Linked DNA regions of Drosophila melanogaster. The protein of the gene in region 1 interacts with the protein of each later gene in a pairwise test. Each region holds a gene or a part of one and is shown on either strand. Other genes may lie near its edges.

Region 1 (8,192 bases):
CCCACAATTGCAGTGGCCGCACCTTTGTGGGTCAAGTGAGCAGCCAAGTTCTTGCAGCTGTCGGCAGCACAATTAAAAATGTGCAAACTTGCATTATTAAAATAAAGAATTTCATTTCATTCCGTCCGACACTTTTCCAACCCCTTTCCCCCCCCCCCCCCCTCTACCAAAAACGAAACAAACAAAAAAAAAAGGGAAAATCGCGGAGAATGGCTTTAATCAAATGCCAATACATTTTCGTTTTTCACAATTTGATTAATGCGTCCGGCAGTCAAAAACGTGCCCTAGTTGCAGCCTAAATGTTGCACAGCCTTTGGCAAATAGGCAACAACAAATATTAATTAAATTGAGCATGCAAAGTCAATTAATTGCCACGCTTTTGGTTAATTAAAGTCATTGAAATATTTACATACATATGTATGTGCGGTAACATCGACCTATCGGCTGGCATACACGATTCAATTAATTAAAATGTTTTGCAAACGCTTCCTACCTTTTTCCAGGATAATTGGCCTCAGGTGCGACAGTTGGTAATTAAAGGGAAGAGCAAAAAGTTGGCAGCGGCAGAAAAAAATGCTTAACTATGTAATTGCAAATATCGATAACACATGCCATGCCAATTTAGCGTCTTGCAACACTGCCAGTGAAAAAGTTGCAATTCACCAAACATCTTAATCTTTCCAGGCGAATTTTTCCATTAAACGGGTGAGTTTCCTTATAATCAGCGATGCATGTATTGCCACTAAAATCAAGCGATGCAGCGCAATTAAATCGCATAGCAGTGCGCATAAATTGAGGAAATTGTCATTGCCTCGATAATCAGAGGAGAATCACCCGAAGTGGAATCTCTTTCAGTTCTTTGACAGTATCGTCCATCGAATGCGGCAAGAAGCCGTGGCCCAAAACTCAGAAGCGTGGCATTCACATGAGCAGCTCTCCCTGGTCATTGCCACTTTTCTCTGTTGCCGCCACGGAGTTGCGATGGACGCGTGCCTGTTTGTTGGTCAACAACAATCAAAGTGCATTTGCATTGTTTGGCGGCGTGAAAGAAAAAAGTTTGTGCCGACGATGCACCGGCACATTCCATGTGACTCAAAGTCAACGACCCAGTGTTGCAAGAGTTTTGCATTCAACCTAAAGTGTTGAATTTAGGTGCTTTCCCGGTATAGAAAACTTATAAGTAATACTGTTTTATTTTCTTTTAGATAATGGACCGCACGCCATTTGTCCGGGGTAGGATGGTAGAAAAAATAGTTTACGTTTTTACGACAGCGAATAAAAATACGATGTTTCTGATAAAGTTCAAGGACTCGCCCGTGGTGGAAGTGGTTCCAGGTATCGAGGCCAACAGACGCATTCCCCAAATGGTGATCGAATTCTACATGGACCACCTATCCTTGCCCCCGCCCGAATCCCGGAAAGGCAATCCAAGAAAGAGAAAAGCCAGCGAGGATGGATGATTTATAATTAAATTCAATTATGCAGCAAACGAAACACGTTGTTTTTGGTTGCCTATCGTCTGGGCGGAGTTTTCTTTTCGCACCTTACCGCTCGAATCGATCATGAAAATTTACGACGCTGTTGGCCATAAAAGCCAAGCAGGGAAAACTAATTAGGCAGATATCAAATTCGGATTAATGGCTCTCAAAGAACCATAAAATCCTGGAGCGCAACAATTAGGATGCGTATCTCCGGATATGTGAGAGTTGGCAATTGGCTTGGAATGCCGGCAAATATGTTGTGTCAACCATAAAAGCCAACTTGAATGCTTTCGGCACTCTGGCCATGAAAACCAATGCAAAGTCGTTAGTCGTTAAAACCTACAAGAAGTTCTGCCCCTCAAGATGTCGATTCCTGGCGAGATGATGAAAAAGTTTGAGCGGTTGGCCGGGGAGTTTGTTTTATGGCCGCACTTCGGGAATTACTTTCCATTTATAAAATTTTAATCTGGCCCATAAATAAGCATTGCAATTGGACTTCGTGTACTTTTTGCCCGACTAATGGACTGTTCTCAGGCCAAAGTTTTTAATTTAATGCATCATCGTAAAATCCCGCACTTTGTTTGGCGTACAAATATTGTATTGTAGTTTGCCCCACTGGTTTGTATCTGACTTTGATGTCGGCGGATCAATGTGGATCAACTTTTTCATAAGCAGCACACGTAGACAAATTTAATGTAAATTGAATGGAAATTAGAAAAGCGTGTTTTATTGTATATGCTTCAGGTGAATACTTAACCTGAAGGTCATCGAAAAGAGATTTGAGTGGAAACTAGCTTAATGATAGCTACTATTGATTTTTTGATGTGCATTATTTTGGAAAAGTCTGGGCCGCAAGTGAATACGACGGCCTAATCCATTTGGCGGGCCTTTTTCAATTAAAATAAATTAAACGCAAATGTCAAAACTGCTTTCGGGGAATCCCCCGCCGCCGACCGTCGCTCTGTCACAATTTGGGCAGCTTTGGGGCTTTGACAGGTCCGCGGGACAGATGATGAACTACAAATTGGACGGCGGTGGTTGGGTGGCTCACTGAGATCGGTGGCTTGGTGGGTGGTGGGTATGATGCCCCAGTCATGGGAAAGTTTTGCGTCATTTTGGGAGCAGGCAAGTCTGGTTGGTTGGGCGCCTTAAGCAAGCTTAAAAGTTGCTGGCAACAAAGTTGGTGGGCTGAGTTGGCGAACAATAAGCAGTAAAACAACGGATTTGAAGGATTTTGAAACAATAATGCTAAGCGGCAAAAGTAAATAAAACGAAAGTGAAATAAAATATTCGCCGGCGAAAGTCCCTAAAACGCTTTTTGCTTACGTGCGCCTTAGTTGAATTTTATTTTAACAATTCTCGGCGGAGTTTCGTTTTTGTAATTCGAGAGCTTAAAAAGAAACTCTTTGAAAAGATTCGGGGAATATTCCTAAGCTTGTCAACAAGGTGGTTTATTTTTTATTACTCAGCAAAGTTGCCTAAGTGGATTGAGAGCAAAGTTATTCAATGTTTAGTGTCTATTAAGCAACTCGCTCATCTTGCATAGTTCATCTATTGTATAATAAGGCTCATGTGATTTCAAATTGTAAATAATTAAGAACTATGCACCGAATAAAAGGCTATTATTTTGGCTCTCAACTAAATCCGATGCCACAAAATCGTGCTCTTGGTCCAGCGCTGCAACGATTCGCAGACGGGAAGCTCAAGTTTGGCCTAATCTCTTATTCGCTCTTGACTTGGCGTCATTTTAGTCATTAAAACAGGTTCAGACTGAGTAATCTGCCAGCCACTTCAGGCCAAAAGCGAAGGGAATGGCCAGATTCTTCCACTACGCTGCCTTAGTTAGTTGCCCTCTAATAAACTGGCAGCGGAAATTTTTAACAAGTTGTTGCCAGTGCACAAAACTGGGCTGTAATTAACGCAGGACAGATGCCGCGCAGGGCAGGGAGGGGGAAATGGGGATTCGGGATGCAGGATGATGGTGGCCAGGAGGAGCTGGTGGAGTAGCATCGTCTGGGTTAGACGAGATTTTGCATATCAGATTGCTGCCCCGGCTCCAGTTTGTCCCTGCCCTGTGATTTAATAATCAGAGCTGGCTGTCAAAACTATCCAGCAACTGCAGCGCTGCGAAAGAATTGTCATATTTGTTGATAAGCTGAATACCCTACAGCAATCTAAAGTTTATATAATAAATATATACAAAATATACCGACAAACCTTAAGTATCCAATTGGATACTTAAATAATACTTAATACTAATACTTAGACTTAACATTTAGATAGTCCAGTAAACTATTATGCTTCGTGACCAATAAAATAACAGTGAGTGGTTTCATGTACTCATAGTTAGGGTATGTTTGGATGAAGGGCTTAGCCAGCTCGTTTCTTTTGCCTCGATTTTTCCTTTCCAGCCCGCCTTTCTCCGAATTGCTTCCGCCCCCTTAGTTTTCCATTCGAAGGGCGGGGGGAATGCAGGCTGCAATGGAAAGCGCGTGCAAAAATGAAATGTGCCAATGTGGCGGATGGGAGATGCGGAATGGGGAATGGGAAATGGAATTCGGTGGTTTGGGGAATGCGGAGGCCAAGTCCTCGGCAATTTGCATAAATTTAGATCAGTGACACATGGCGTCCACTAATGGAGGCAGTGGGAGCAGCCGGAGTGACTGCGACTGCCACTGGGATGGGACATATATCACGGGGGGTATCAGGCCAGTCGACCCGCGGACTCAAACAGTTTGGCAAACATTGCCAATTGGCCTTTAATTAGCGGCTAATCCGTTTGCCACCGCCTGCGAGTGGGCGTGGTCACTGCGAAAGCACCTTCTATGCCATTCCCCACTCGTTTTGGTCCCAATTTCGCATCTCGGCAGGTGGCGATGATGACCCTGCCCGGCAGTCCAATTAAAATGTCGTGTATCTCTGCGGTGGCGCCACTGCCACTGCCACTGCCACTGCCCACAGAAGGTCCATTGGATTCCACTTGGGTGGCCGGCGAAAGTGCCGCTGCGACCACTCTCACCCACTAACCATGAAATGCCAATGGAATCGGAGACTGCGAATTGCCGCTGCGGATTGTCCAGTGGAGCGAAACTTTCAAGCGGAATGCGATATTTTGATGGGAACAAGATGTCCAGCTTTCTGATCTTGTGATCTTGTTTTGATTAAAGTACATTTTTGATACACTTGTAAGATGCCTTAGAGACTTAACTCCACAATCATTCGAGCTCGTTTAGTGTGCTCATTTACACATTACACTAAACTATTTATTGGAAATAATAAACTCTTTTTGAACACATAATGGCTCTGGAAGCGATTTGCGGCATGAATAAAATGCCTTTTATGCGGCGCTTCGATGACTTGCAGTCCGAATGGCAGAAGGAGCAGCTTCGCGAGGCAACCAGTAATTTTGAGAATCCCTACGAACTGATGGCGCCTCCCTTCGAAAGAGTTAGTATAGGTTTCATAATCCAAAAGATCCATCTAAGATTGAAACTCTTCTCAAGCCCGCTGAAAATCTGCCCAAGATCCTGTCGCACTGTGGCATTCGCATGGATTTCGATCACGGCACCACCACTCTGGGTTTCAAGTATCGCGGAGGAGTGATTCTGTGTGCTGATTCTAGGGCCACCTCTGGCCAGTATATTGGATCCCAGACGATGAGGAAAATAGTCGAGCTGAACGACTATATGCTGGGCACATTGGCCGGCGGAGCCGCCGATTGCGTCTACTGGGATCGGGTTTTGGCTAAGGAGTGTCGCCTGCACCAGCTGCGCTATCGGAAACGCATGACCGTGGACACGGCTGCCCGGATCATCTGCAACATATCCACGGAGTACAAGGGCATGGGTCTGGTGATGGGCATGATGCTGGCCGGCTTCGACGACGAGGGACCCAAGCTGATTTACGTGGACTCGGAGGGCATGAGATCCCATGGTCAAGTCTTCTCCGTGGGCAGCGGTTCTCCATATGCGCTCGGCGTATTGGACACTGGGTACCGCTATGATCTCTCCGATCAGGAGGCCTATGACCTGGCCAGGCGAGCGATTTACCATGCGACCAGTAAGGATGCCTATTCTGGTGGAATCGTGCGTCTCTACCACATTCATTCGGAGGGCTGGCGAAATATCTGCAATACGGACTGCTCCGATCTCCATGACTCGTATTGCGCATCTGGGTGTCCGGGGAACGAGAAGGATGTAGGAAACGTAGGCGATCCCGACAATGATAAGCCCTGTTCCAGTGGCTGGACGAAGAAGAATATCACAGCAGACAATTTGCAGACTAAGCTGGCAACGGTATGAAAATTTGGAAATTATTGGAGCAACATTAGCAAAAATTTCTGTGGAAGTAAAACTTCTGTCGTGCAAAACGTATAAAGTGTTAGTGTTTATGGTAATGGGAATTTGTGGCAGTGAAGAAGTCCGGAATTTATCGTGAGAATAGTTTTCCGAACCGTATGCTGGATTGTTCTATCTAATCCTCTTCAGTTCTAAAAGCACACATACAGATACATTTCAAAGTTTTAGCCACTAATAATGAAAACAAGAGCTGCATACATACAAATGCCTTTCGCCCCGCACTCGCCACACTTTAAAAGCTGTGCTTCTATCTAATTTTTTTCACTCCTCAAACTCCCCTCTCTTCCATCCTCCACTGCGGAAAATATACGAGCAACTTTCGCTCGCTAAACGAACTTTTCCTATAAATCAAAATAATAACTTCTAAGCTCGCAATGACTTTCCCCAAATGGGCGTGCCGCACACAAAATACGGCCAACGAAATGTTCGCCGAAATGTTGCACTCCGTGTCTTTGGGTTGTCATCAACAAATGTTGCAGATGCCACTGCCTGGAGACTCCGTCCGGGGGATCTGCTCCTCACTGCCCATCCCCTCCCCCTCCCCCGCCGGAAAAGCGCAACCGCAGACATTAGCAGGCGTAGGTCATTCTCTCCCAAACGCCCCACTGGGTGGTGACCCTCATCCTCATCTTTATCCCCATTATCGTCCTCATCCTCATCGGGATCTTCCTCCTCCTCGTTGCACGACTGTTAAGGCGCTCTGAGCATGCGATAAATTTAATAAATTACAAACCAAATCCGCAAATTTGTTGAATTCCAAAAGAAGAGGAAAGAGCACCAAATGACTACACGGAGGAAATACGAATATTAAATATATTATTAAGCAAATATATCAAATGCACAAAATGATGTGCAAGTAGACATAACTCTCAAGAACGGTATTTTTGTAAGATATATAATTTGTGCTATGCACTATAACTTTTCTCTCAGTGCTTAAGGAGTTGGTGGTGGCAGCATTTGCACGGCGTTTTGGGCACATGTGAGTTGCAGAACGTGTGGTGAAACAGCTGGATTGTGGGGGGGCTGGAAGGGAGGCGGAGCAACATCGGGCCAAAAGGCGTTTTGTGGCAAAAAGTTTTACTGTAAATTGCTTTTAATCTAATGAACGTCGCCAGCAGGAGCTGCAAAACTGGGGGGGAATGGAGACAACTTGCCAGCCCCCAAGTCGTCCTCGAGAGTCATTTTTCCTCTGTGGTGTCATTAGAAAATTACTTAAAGCCAAAGCCGTGTGGCCCAAGTTCGGAAAATCCTCATTGCGGGTAAGTGGAGCAAAAGTGGCGGAAAAAATGTTGCAACCCGGGTTAATGGGTCAAAACTATTTTCCGGCAGCACTAGATTTGTGTACTTACTTCCATGGTGGCAAGAAGTGGCCACGCACAAATTTTCCAAACGCGTTGAACAACAAAACGTAGAAGTGTATTAAATTTCTAATATTTTAAAATGCCAAAGGTTTTACTCTTTAAAGAGTGGACTTAAAATTAAAATTTTCAGTTTAACTACCTGGCTGCAATCTCTACTGAAAATCGCTGTGCGAAATATTAGCATACAATAATGAAGTGGTTGTTTTCAAAATAACGCAAACTAATTGATAGTATCGATTTTCCCAAATTAGCTGGTTTCCTTCTCCATTACAAAATTCGCCCCAGCCTTCAGCTAATATGGCATAAAAAGCTTGTCGAAAAAAAAAAACGCAGCAACCATAATTTAAATTAATTTGCAAACAACAAGAGCGGCAGCAACAACAAGCTGCAACACCTGCGATGTTGCTGCTGCGCGTTGTTGCTGCTGCAGTTGTTGCGTTGTTGCTGCTGCTGCTGCCATTCCACTTTTGTCAACGAGCTCAAATTCAATGAAATTTCACACTTTGTCGTTAAAAGCGCGCCGCTTGCAAGAGGTGGAAAGTCCGGAGGGGGGCGTTAACTGTCAGGCATAAGGATGCAAATATGCAAATGGATTTTGCTACGGAGCGGCGTAGGAGGAGCAGGGGGAGGAGGAGGTGCATCCGAAGACGGCGGAGATCGTAAGAGTCTGCCAGAGTGTTTGACAAGCAAGCGTGACTGCTCGCTGGGCGGAGACTGGCGGAGTGGGCAGGGATGTTGCCTGCCGGTGATGATGATGTTGCCCCTGTCACCGGCCGAAGCTGCAGCAGCAACACTTGGCCAACAGCTACACACACACACACATAGATGGCGGCTCGGGAGACAGCGGATGTGGCAGCGATGCCTCGTTTGGCAGTTTCATTAACCGACTGCGGAGGGGCAGCAGGCGATGGGTGGCTACACGACACCAGGCCAACTGCAACTGCAACAAGAACAGCAGCAGCAGAAGCAGCAGCAGCAAATGCAAATGCAAA
Region 2 (6,185 bases), on another chromosome or scaffold:
AAAAAACACAATCTTTCGCAGTTCCAACTACGGGATTACGTACTACATATGTGATTCCCACCCGATAAATATGCATAATTCGTAACTTGTTGGTTGGGCGCTTTATTAGTTTGGGAAACCACTCCAAGTTCTCTAGCTTTGGTAATTAAATCGAACTGAATCACTAACAAAAAAAAAAGGGAGGGAGAACATGCAATGGTGGGCCAGCGAGCAGCTCCATGGCCTCATTCCTTGATCTCGGGAATCTTGAAGCCCGAAGAGCGCATCTCGCGCAGCATGCACATAGCGATCCCGTGGGCTGCCTCGCACCTGAAAAAAAACCAAAAACAAATAAGATCCTTTTCAGAAATACTTTAAAAATATTTCAAACAATTTTTAAAGCTTTTGGGAGCACAGTTGCCTGGCCACCTATAAAAGGTATTCCAAAATATTGAAACTCTCTTCCTGAGAAGAAGTGTACGAAAAGGTTCTTCAAAACACACGGCAACTTAAACTCCTGGCACTTATCTTTTCTTTCGAATACAGCAGAATATTTTCGAAATGCAGCAAGACTGAAAAATTCGCCTTAGAACCGTTTCAAGTTTTTGCTTTGAAGTAAATTCACTCCGCATCTGGAATACACTTCGCTGGACTAACAATTACTAGACACTAGGGTCCTCCATTGCCCCACCACACTCACTTGTCCTGCTCGGCCTTTAGCTCCTCGTTGCAGGTCTTGACGATGCGCCTGCCGTCGTCCTCGCGATCCGGGAACATCATGTTGATCATATCGACCGTCTTGTCCTCGTTATACTGCAACTGATCCTCGGGCATCAGCTCGAACTGCTCCAGCATGCAGTGGCGGAAGCACTTGGTCTCGTGCTTGGCGTCCTCCTTGTTCAGCACCATCTCGACGATGTTCTCTGCGGATATGGTATGTTATGGAATGGTATGGTAGGATGGGTGAGTAACCCAACGGTGCACTTACCCCTCGACGGCTTTGGCGTGCAGGCGTCGCCAAAGGGCTCGATCAGCTCCACCACCTCGTCCACGGTCATGGACCCCTCCTCCTCGTCCGCCGTCGCCGATCCCATCAGCACGGCGGCGCAGGCCACTGCTAGCAGAAGGTTCGTCATCTTCAACGTCGTCGTCATTCGGCTGCACTGCATCATTTTTGCTCTTCTTGTGAATAGTGGACGGACAGCAATCGGCGCCGGGCAATTTATACCCGCCGCAATCGTGTCCAGCACATCCGGTACAAGCAAATCGCCTCGGATGTAGATCAACCGGCGATAGCCATGACATTGCTGGGGCGGATCATGCAAGCCCCACCACAACCACAGCCAACCACCCATTCGTCCATCCATCGCAGCCCAGTTAAAATACAGCACAGATGACGGGGCCCTCCGGCTAGCTTTTATTGATCATCTGGTCAGGGGATTGGGCTTGGGTGTGGGTTTAGGATTGCGGACAAGAGATATACATATCTACTTTATTTGCTGCGGAGTCACCTGTTCCGAATGCCAAAGTGTGACGCATCTGGTATCGCATTGGCAGCCTCGGATGGAAAGCCTAGGGAAACACGAATACCTTGATGTTGTTCTTCAGGCAGCTGAGCAGGGCGTGGGCGGGATCGCAGTTGGGGGCGTTCTTCAGGCCGACGGTGGAGTCCTTGCACAGATTGATGCCCTTGCGGTACTCGTCCTTGTAGCTGTCCGGCAGCATGATGTCCATCTGCTTGAGGGTCGACTCCAGCTGGAACTTTCCCTTCTTGATCTAAGCAGGAGCAGAGCGGAAAGAAGGAGCTGATAATGTAACCAACACAGCCGATGGAAACTTCTTAATACGTACTGCCTGCATCATTTCCAGGATGCAATTGATGTAGCAGTTGGTGTCCTTGCTATTGGGTATGTCACCGTTGCGAATGTTGTCGGCCACCTCGACGCTGACCTTCGGATACTTGGGCAGGCAGACGTCGCGCATCAGCTTTCCGGCAGACCACATCTGCTCCTCCGTCACCTGCAAGTGGACAGTATCCATGAGGCATCCTCCGGCAGAGAGAAGAGCTTAAGGACCTACCCCTGCCTCCGACTGGGGGATTGGTCCCAGGGATATGGCGACGCAGACCAGCAGCAGATGGAACTTCATTTCCGAGACGATTTGGCGGATTCCAGACTCCAGACCCATCGGCGACTCCTTTTATACACGGCCCCCGACATGCAAATGACTTCATATTGGTTCGATCGAACCGCTAAGTGGGTGTGGGAATTATGGGTTAGCGCCAATCGCCGCCCCCACTGCCCATTTCCATATCCAAATGGGCGGGCGGTGGGTGGTGTTCCTGGGGCGGATTACTTTCTGGCCGGGCTATAATCTTGCCACGTTAATTGACAGTGTACACAGGTATGTGGTCACCGTGCGAGGTGGCATGCGAGGCGCGATTCTGGCCGAGATGCGTTGACAATCCCATTGCTGGGCCGCATTTCCCCAGTGTTCATCAGCGATCATGCGAATGCAAATAAGGTTTCAATCTGAGATCTAACGGGGCGGTTCCAAAATCGGTTCCAGAGTTAGGGTCGCATGGATACCGCGCATCCAGTTTTCCGTTTTGAGGTCAAACAATGTAAAGATAATCACAATCGGTAATAATGTTTGGTATATATCTTAAAAAATTATAAAATAAAATCTATTTTTACAAATAGTTTGCTATTTACATATACTCCTTCAAGATGCTGATTTTAAGATATACTATCTGGAAAAAAAAGTTTTTATATTTTGATAGTCCACCAGATACCACCAGATATTTTGCTACCACCAGATATTTTGCATACCAGATGGTTGCTGTTTTTTTGTTTTTTTTCTGGAGACTCACATAACAAGTGGCCATTTTTTTCCAATATATTTAAAAATTTAATTACAAGGCAGGCATTTTAAATATAAGCCTTGTAACCCCTTAAGTAAGTCCATTACACTCACTTTAACCACCTATTACCTTGTATGCAAATGAGTAGTTCGGTTTGATTAGCATTCAAATTAGTTGCAAGTTGGCATTTATTTGGCGAAATGTATTTCATTTGTGCATTTAGTACAACTGATGACGTTGAAATAAGTAGTATTGCGTGTGGCATGAGCCCAAATCGCTGATAAAGCTAACTGCAATAAATAATAAATGTAAATTATAATATCACAAAAGGCTTATGTTTGCATTAGCATAACTGAAGCGTACAGCTAAATAGGCCAGAATGTTTACATGCTAGCTAGGTGATAAAATACATTTGTAGAGGATATATTAGATATATAATGGTCGATCGATATGCGATGTTAATATCAGATTCCAAGACTTTCATACGGACAGACATAGCCATATCGGCTTGGCTAGTGATCCTAATTCCGACCAGGATGGCAAGAAGTTCTGTGTGACATACAATTTTCAACGAATCTAGTAACTGGTTTAAAAATAGTTATAGCTGTAACATGCTTAAAAATTTCATAAAATTGTAAATGGTATTTAGCTCAATGAATTCTGAAGTTGGTTAAAGGTACAATATGAAAATGTCCAAAACTTTCGATTTGCCTCTTGCATATCTCAATTTTCATCACAGTATTTAAGCAGTAATTAATGGGTATCCCATTAGTCGGTACTAGACTTCAGCATTCTCTCTAGTTGGGAAACCCGAGTCGGCTTTGACGACTGTCAGTAACATTCCTTTCATTTCGAACGTTTAAAAGTCACAATCCGAATCCCGGTCTAAAATACAGGTCGAATATCGAATCCAAATTTTAATCTTTTGTTAAAAGCCACGCCAATCCGGTCAACAACGATCCAAAGATGTCCGATCATTTCAACTTCAACGAAGCCTTCAACAGCCAGACCATGCGTGGTCGCGCCAATGTAAGTGATTCAGTACACGGCAGTACACAAGATGCGCCCAAATACGCCACCGAAACCCACAGGTAGCCAAGGCCACCTGGGCCTCGTTGGGACTCGTCTACGTCCTGGTCAAGATGCACCGCCGCAACACGAAGCGGCGCGAGACCAAGCTCTACTGCAAGGGCTGCCAGCAGGCCATGCTCCATGGCTAGGGCGCCGATGCTGCCAAATCATTGAAGTCATGGCTCCCCACCGCTCCGACCCATTCGACCCGTCAGCAATCCATAACTATTTATAATCAGCACCCCCTTTCCGGTCCTCGATGCCACAGTTAAAGGCTTGGGGACCAAACTCATGTACCACCTCGTTGAGTCAATAAAAATCGAATCCTGCCAATGAATCGACTTTGTAATCTAGTTGGCCGAGCTTTGCACTTCGCTGCTTGTCATTAGGTTCTCGCTCGGAGCTATAGGCAGAACACACTCAGCTCTCACCCGGACCCGACCCCAAATCCAGATCTCCAGATCTCCAGATCCAGTCCAGTAGCAATGGCCGACGGCTTTAAGAAGTACTTCAATGGGACAACCATCAATGGACGCGCTAACGTAAGAGTGATTCTATTGAACGCACACAAGATAAAATGAACCATCGCTTTGGAGCTGTTGATGGACACAAAATATTATTTTCAGCTCCAAATTGAAATTCAAAATTATTAATTTAACATTTTTTTACATACATTTTTTACAAATACATATACTATGACCCATTTCGCAGGTGGCAAAGGCCACATACGCCACGTTGGCCCTGTTGTTCATCGTGTACAAGCTGCGCCGCGGATCCGGCAAGACCGGCGAGTTGGCCAGCGGCAAGTGCAGCTGCGAATCGGACCACGAGTCGTCCCTCAATGGCGACATTGGCGTCTACGGCGCGGATCCCGACTGCTCCGTTTGCCGGGAGCGATCGGAGCGGGCCATGACCGAGTTCGATCGCGAGCAGCAGCGCCGGGCGGCGGGCGAGGATGACAATGGTTGTCGCGACGATCCGCCGCCGCCACCACCTCCGCCCACATCGGGAGGATCAGGCTCTGCTCCGCGGCGCAAGTGTCCCTGCGAGGAGCCGCAGCGTCGGGCGGAGGGAGCCGTGAAGCATAGCAGCCACAGCAGCTGGGCGCGAGGCCAGCAGATTCAGCCGCCAAACCAGTACCAACAGTATAAACAGCCCGAGGCGGAGCAAGTGCGTCCGGCTAGCCAAGTGATGGGTCAGGTGCACGACGCCTTCTACAGGGTGCTGCGAGGAGTCGTGGGAGCCGTTTTGGGCAATGCGGCGGTCAACACCAGCGGCACCGCTTCCGATTCCCCAGCTCAGGCAGCCGCAGTGGAAGTCTCGCGGGATGAGCTGGACGAGGATGAACGTGACGACGGCCAGGACGATGAGACGCCGTTAAAGCGCCGCACGGCACCGCGCTCTTGCGTGCCCACAGGCAGCCAAGAGAACGCCTCGGGACAGCCGGAGGAACTGGGCCGGGAACAGGCCGACGACCAGCCGCAGGCGGAGGAGCAGGCGGAGTACAGCGCGTTCAGCGATGGCTTCACTTCCGGCCTGTCCTTTACCAGCGATGAAAAGTAGTTGGCTAGGTCTGGGCGTAGGCTTCAAGAGATCTGCTAAATTTTTAGTCTAAAATAAATACGAAGAACTTCTTTATCTCAGCATTATGCTTTAACAATCCATTACTTGGCGCCCCCGGGTGGATCCATTTCTTTCAGTCGTTGCAAGATACTAAATTAAACGGGGGGCAATTGCTTTATAAAGTATTTTATTTAGCTTCCGTTTAGTTCAGATAGAGTTTTCTTTGCGGCATCTAACTTTTAAATAGATCATCATTATAAACGTTTTTAGCCCCTTTGTGTTCTCGGGGTTATCAATATCAATTACGTAGCTTATTAACTGTTTTGGGCGGGGTTCGGACTCGAGATGGATGGGAATGGATTGGATTGGATTCAATTGGGTTGCGTCTAACGTTTAAGCCTTGTGTTTAATTATGAGTGGACTTCAACTAACATTTATATTTAAATTTATATGTATATATAATATAATATGGAAATAACTTTAACGTTTTGCTTTTTGGTTTCATTATGCGATCGACCGATTCTTTCGCTCTCTCGCCGTCTCTCTCTCTCTCTCGCTCTCTCATTCTCTCTCTCCTCATTCTCCCTCGCTTGCCGTCTCTCTCTCTCTCTCGCTCGATTCGTCGTCTTGCTCCGATTCAAGTGCTAATTTAAAATATATGTTTATACGTGTATATATGTGTACGTGTCGCGTGAGTGGGTTTAACTTG
Region 3 (5,538 bases), on another chromosome or scaffold:
GTATTGTTTTTATTTAATGCTTGGCTATTTGCAAATTCCATTTCAATGAATTTCCCCAAGCAGGACGAGCTGCATAAAAAATGCCATTATTATTCATTCATTACACCAAACCAACCAAAATGAATACGTCGCATTCGTGTTTAATTTTTTTCACTCATTTAATGAATTATTAAATGCAACATGCATAATTCCCGTTTCCGCGCTTAAGCGTGGACAATGCGAAATGGAAAAGCCCACGTCAAAGCCCCTACCTAAAGGACCTCGTCGGGAAATCCTTCGAATGGCACGTAGGCAAATATCCCTCTCCCCACACGCGTCCCATTCCCATGCATTGGAATGCAAATATTTTCCACTATAATTGAGGCGCGACAAATGCGAATTGTTAGCGAATGTGATTGCGTTGCCTTAGTCGATTTTCGATGGGTCGTTGGAGGAGGAGTTCCCTCAAAAGAGGTAAAACAACACGTATTTAATGCACATGCAATTCAATCATTCAATTTAGCATGCCAACAAGAATGATGTGTTCAATTTAACCAAACACCAACGAGGACATGGAGTTTAATCAAAATGGTTTTTAAATTGATAAAAGTAAAAAAAACGACCCATAATTGCAGTGGTTCTTCAAAAAATTAATGCATGCACGTAAAACAATTACAGCGCAGTAAATTGCAACTGCAGACAGCAGCAGCAGCGAAATCGAACAATTGTCGCACATTAACCACAGATGCGTTTGGATCGTCAGGGATGGGCAGGAATTATAAGTGGGTGGTATGGGTGGTGTCGACTAAGTGATTGCATTCAGTGGGCCACGGATGAATGCAAATTTCGGTTCACTTGTTTCACATCGATAAGGAAATTTTCTGGTTAATATATCCTCCTTCTTCTGCATCATAATCCTATTATTCGTTAAGTAAGATCGTGCATTTAATGTGTGCGAAAGAAAAGCCATTAACGTTGACCATTAAACGTTATATATTTTCCTCATCAGTAATATGACCAACTTTTGTGTGTTAACACAAACATCCCGGATGTTTGGTTAAATGGCCCATCACAAAGTTTGAATATTCCATTCTCTTAATAGAGAACTTTTTTTAATGGAGTCATTACGTCCACTTTGCTAGAAGCTTCTTTTCTGAACTATACGAGTAGCATTACTATCATTACTAGCATGACATAATTTCGAAAAATCCCATTACTTTACCAAATTATAAAATTGCTCACGACATTCGATGACCATAGCATTTCTGTGAAATTTATCGCATTAATAACTACGATGAAAGGGACTCTCATTCCAGATACTTAAAACCACTCAAGTGGAAAACAGCCACAAAAAATATCTTGTACAAGTTGATATAAAAGTGTTTATGGCGTAGGTCAATGATGAGATTAAATTCTGAATATAAAATGAGAATAATGTTATTATTTTTGTGTAATCGCATTTTACGTTTTTACGTTATTTTAAAGTACACTATAGAATATTGGATGATTATTAAATATTCATGATTTCATCAAGTTTTCTTTATATTACAAAACATTTGGACCAAAAACTTTTGCAGATTATTATTCGCACCAGTTATCATTTTTAAAAGCATATTCACAGAAAATATGTAACCCCTTTAATGATCAGAAGCTTAAAGGTCACGATCTAGTCTGACATTTTCACACCAACATTGCCAAAACATTCACCAGCCCGAGGCACTTTTCCCGGAATTTTCTTGTTAGCTTCAAGCTTTGCCTTTTATTGCCAGCAATTCTATTGTCTTTTATGTCAACTCACCAGACACAAGAGTTGATGAATTTTGTCGCTTCGCAGGATGGGCGACTTTAGAAGGCACTCTCGCACAGACACAGGCACACTCACACTCACGCAGCAATCGAGCCTGAATGTGTTTGTTGTTGTTGTGTTGTATTGATGTACGTATTGGTGTGTTTATTTCGATGCGCGCCAAAAAGTATGCAATGCGAACTGTGAGTCTTGTGTTGCGGGTCTGCGTTTCGGTTTCCGACTGACGATGGCCTGATGGCTGGTGGCTTGATGTCTGATGGCTGGTAATGTGATTAGTTGGCCCGTCTATCGATGCTAGTGCGCTACTGTGTGCGAGTATATTTTAATTTAATTATGTCGCTCTCGTTTCAATTACGAAAACCGCTCGCAGCGAAGACACGCACTAATAAACAAAGGCCAGCAATAACAGAATAACGAAAAAGTAAGCGACGGCTGGTATCGCTGCCGAGGGAAAACTGAAGGAAAATGTGTCGAATGAGTGGTACCAAGACCAAGACCAACCAGCGAATGTGTTCTGCCTCTCCCTCTCCGCTCTCGCTTTCTCACTCTTTGTCCGGCTATTAGCTGCTCTCTGGCTTTTCCGCTGATGAAAGTGCTGGCAATCGAATGCAACTGCCTCCCACAAGCGACTGAATGCGTTGCATATGCCAAGGCGCACGTTGAGTCCACGAGGAACGTGTGAAAGTGGAACGCGCCAGACTGGAGTAAATTTTGAGTGAGTACAAAGTGCACTTTCGAGTGCCCGGGAACGAGTGGAATTGTGCAACACCTGTGCAAAGGGGATTGTAAATGGGGTGGCCAGCACTATTCTTTCTTTATCGCCGGAAAAACGGGCAGTCGAAATTTTAATTGGGTTTGTCCAACTTACGGCACACAATTCAATTGAACCGCTCCCCCACTCGGGGCTCATTAACCTGGAGGGTTGGAACTATATCGGTGGGACATAAACTCGTTACGATTGCCTTGGTTTTTCGTAGGGTAGTTGCTGTTCTAGAACTTCCCTAGGGTTCATTTTTTTACGCACATGTTGTTTCATTTTCTCCGCTTTTTATGAGTTTCTAAGCTAACATCAATAAACTAAAACGTAGTGGTGGTATTCCAATTTCAATACGTGCTAGCTGTTCTAATTAAAAACGTAAAAATGCTGAAAAGTCAAAGCAACTTTAATATTATAAAGCATGAAGGTAAAATATCAATATAAATTATAGTAATACGGCTGCAATGGGGCTTATAAGGTATATTGGATAGCAATCAATACAATGGTGGATCAATGCATGGGAGCTTCCATTAATGCCGTATCAGAGTTCAACATAATTATAATTTGTGTCCCTCGTGGCACGTTTACATTAGCAGGGCATCTGGGCACCATCAACAGCTGACACAGAAACACTTTTACTGGCTGCACTTTGTAAAATGGATCTCTCGGCGGCATTACCTGAAAGCGCTCCCAAAAGATGCCATTCTCGGTCCGTCTACTGTCATCCGGCATGGAGATGATGACGCAGCTTAAGGGCGGCTGTACACCACCAGCTCCACAGTCAACCTCACCCCGCAATCCCGGCCAGATTTCCCCTGACAATGACTGGCACTCGTTCACGGACTCCGGGGCTGACTTCTCCGCCGCCAGCAGGTGTTTCCATTAACATCGGGACAATAAAGGCAGCGCACGCACTGCAATATGCAACAGTTGCAGACACGCAGGAAAAGCGTTGGAAATGGGAAATATGGCTGGCTGTGGGTGGTAGGTGGTGGGTGTTGGGTGCTTAAACGCACATTTGTAAGTAGTTGTGTAATCTATCCATGAACGTCGCTTCCGCTTTGCATTTTATATGCTCAACGCATCGTTTGGCCGGCGCAAATTGAGTTTCGTTGTCGTTGCTGCTGCTGAAATATCTGCTCTCGGATGGATAGATGGATGGATGGATAGATAGATGTCTGGATGAATGCCTCGGATATATCCCTTTTCCCCACAGCCATCGATTGGTAATGACGTTTGGTAGAGCCCACCCACCTTTAGGTTCATCCACTTTGTGGCTTAAGGCAAGAACGAGCATCAAGCCAATTAAAACTTCTAGCCCATCAACTTAATTAAGAAAAGGCCGAAATTATGCGACTATCATAAAAGTGCGGTGAACGTACGGTATCAAGAAAGATTTTCCTAATTGGTAAGCCATAAATTGTATTAATAAATTTTATTAGTTATACACCTGCTTAGAACGAATAACCTATGTATTTGCCAGACGTTGTAAACCGTTTTCAACGCTTTAATATGCTTTTAGATGCGGATTGTTATTTCATTATACAGATGTTAACATCCAGAAACAGTCCGTTTTAAGGATTGGGACTAGCAGGTCATACATAGTAACATGTTCAAGTATTGTTTTATATGCGTCATTCTAGCCTGGGCTTCTCGTGATGTTCTCGCTAACAAAACGGAAAATCCGCTGCTAATTGATCAAGTGGCTATAAATCAACAACAATGGTTCACATTCATTGCGCTGAAGGAAAGTGAAATGCAACAGAAAATAGTGAGGATCGAAAGATCGATAGAAGAACGATTGATGGCCATGCAAAGCAAGTTGGCATACGCACTGAACGAGCTGCAGACCATAATGGGCAACCAGAGTGTGGAGACTCTCGAGAAACTACGAATCTCGCACAGGATTAATCCGGCGCTTTTCCAGAGAATGGGCACAAGACGCTTCTACATTGAGAAGGAAAACAAACAAAATTGGTTTGGCGCCTCAAACACCTGTCGTCAATTGGGCGGTCACATTGCCACCATCAGGGATGAGCAGGAGTTTAATGAGATCTTCTCAAGAGCGCCGGCCGGCGTCTTTTGGATAGATATGAATGCTATGTTCAAGAACGGCCTTTTTGCATCATCACTCACCGGCAGATCGCCGCCGTTCTTTAAGTGGAAGAAAGAAGAAAGGGGCAATAAGTTCGATTGCGTTAATGTATACAACAAGGAAATGTACAATGAAAATTGTTTCAACACCCATTTGTTCATATGTCAAGCCGAGCAGTGGGATTGATGCGAATGCGAAAATAATAAATTAAGTTATTTTCATTTTGCATCTCGGCAATTTACCGACAGCTTTTAATAAAGTTATGAGCCTACTGTCTTTTTTATTTTACTAGCCCAAAAATGAAGTACATAACTGTTTTCTCAGCCAAGAGGATCATTAAGATTATTGGGTAATGAAAATTAAAATATTTTCCCTTAAGTACAAAACCAGGCCAATCCATATGGGGTTTCCATCAAGTGCCCAGAAAGCGGTGCTTGGTATTTCAAAATGCCTTACACACATGACGTGTCCACGTTCTGTGCAGAAATAAGGGCGGCCAGTGCCACGCCCCTCCACAAGGAAGCCACCCAAATGGTGACAAAAATGCTTTTGATTTGTGGGCCATTCGCACACCCATAGCCACCCACGCTTATTAGAATCCTGCCATTGTGGCAGCCAAAGTGCAACTAGCAGAGACAGATAGCAAACATCCAACAATGTGGAGCAGAGCGCAATTTATGACCAGGGGCGAGATTTCGAAACGGACTAATAGGATTGCGGCTCCAATTTTTGGGGCTTTTCATTTCAGATACCTCCGCACATACGATGCAAAATTATATCTCGAGTTTTCACTTACGTTATTATACGCTCTAGTGTGCAAGTCTTTAGTTTTTCCAATTATTACTATTCAATAATACTAATATACCAATATTGTATTTTGTTATAATAATAAGATGCTAT

What was found. Proteins that work in one complex are often made in the same cells at the same time.
Region 2: the proteins of Prosbeta5R1 (region 1) and CG15459 interact in a two-hybrid assay, tested with the Drosophila melanogaster proteins (one large-scale study listed by BioGRID).
Region 3: the proteins of Prosbeta5R1 (region 1) and lectin-30A interact in a two-hybrid assay, tested with the Drosophila melanogaster proteins (one large-scale study listed by BioGRID).

Annotation. Positions count from the first base shown.
Region 1 is NT_033778.4:23,306,315-23,314,506, reverse strand, and holds Prosbeta5R1 (proteasome beta5 subunit-related 1), read left to right. Parts: upstream 1-4,690; 5' UTR 4,691-4,778; coding exon 4,779-4,928; intron 4,929-4,984; coding exon 4,985-5,782; 3' UTR 5,783-5,853; downstream 5,854-8,192. Other genes in the region: HP1Lcsd (heterochromatin protein 1L chromoshadow domain), read left to right, coding at 1,209-1,460.
Region 2 is NC_004354.4:20,411,711-20,417,895, reverse strand, and holds CG15459 (uncharacterized protein), read left to right. Parts: upstream 1-4,314; 5' UTR 4,315-4,398; coding exon 4,399-4,455; intron 4,456-4,624; coding exon 4,625-5,476; 3' UTR 5,477-5,555; downstream 5,556-6,185. Other genes in the region: Obp19b (Odorant-binding protein 19b), read right to left, coding at 225-309, 680-902, 968-1,151; Obp19a (Odorant-binding protein 19a), read right to left, coding at 1,552-1,755, 1,831-1,998, 2,059-2,127; CG15458 (uncharacterized protein), read left to right, coding at 3,809-3,871, 3,934-4,062.
Region 3 is NT_033779.5:9,253,446-9,258,983, reverse strand, and holds lectin-30A (lectin-30A), read left to right. Parts: upstream 1-4,129; 5' UTR 4,130-4,152; coding exon 4,153-4,824; 3' UTR 4,825-4,908; downstream 4,909-5,538.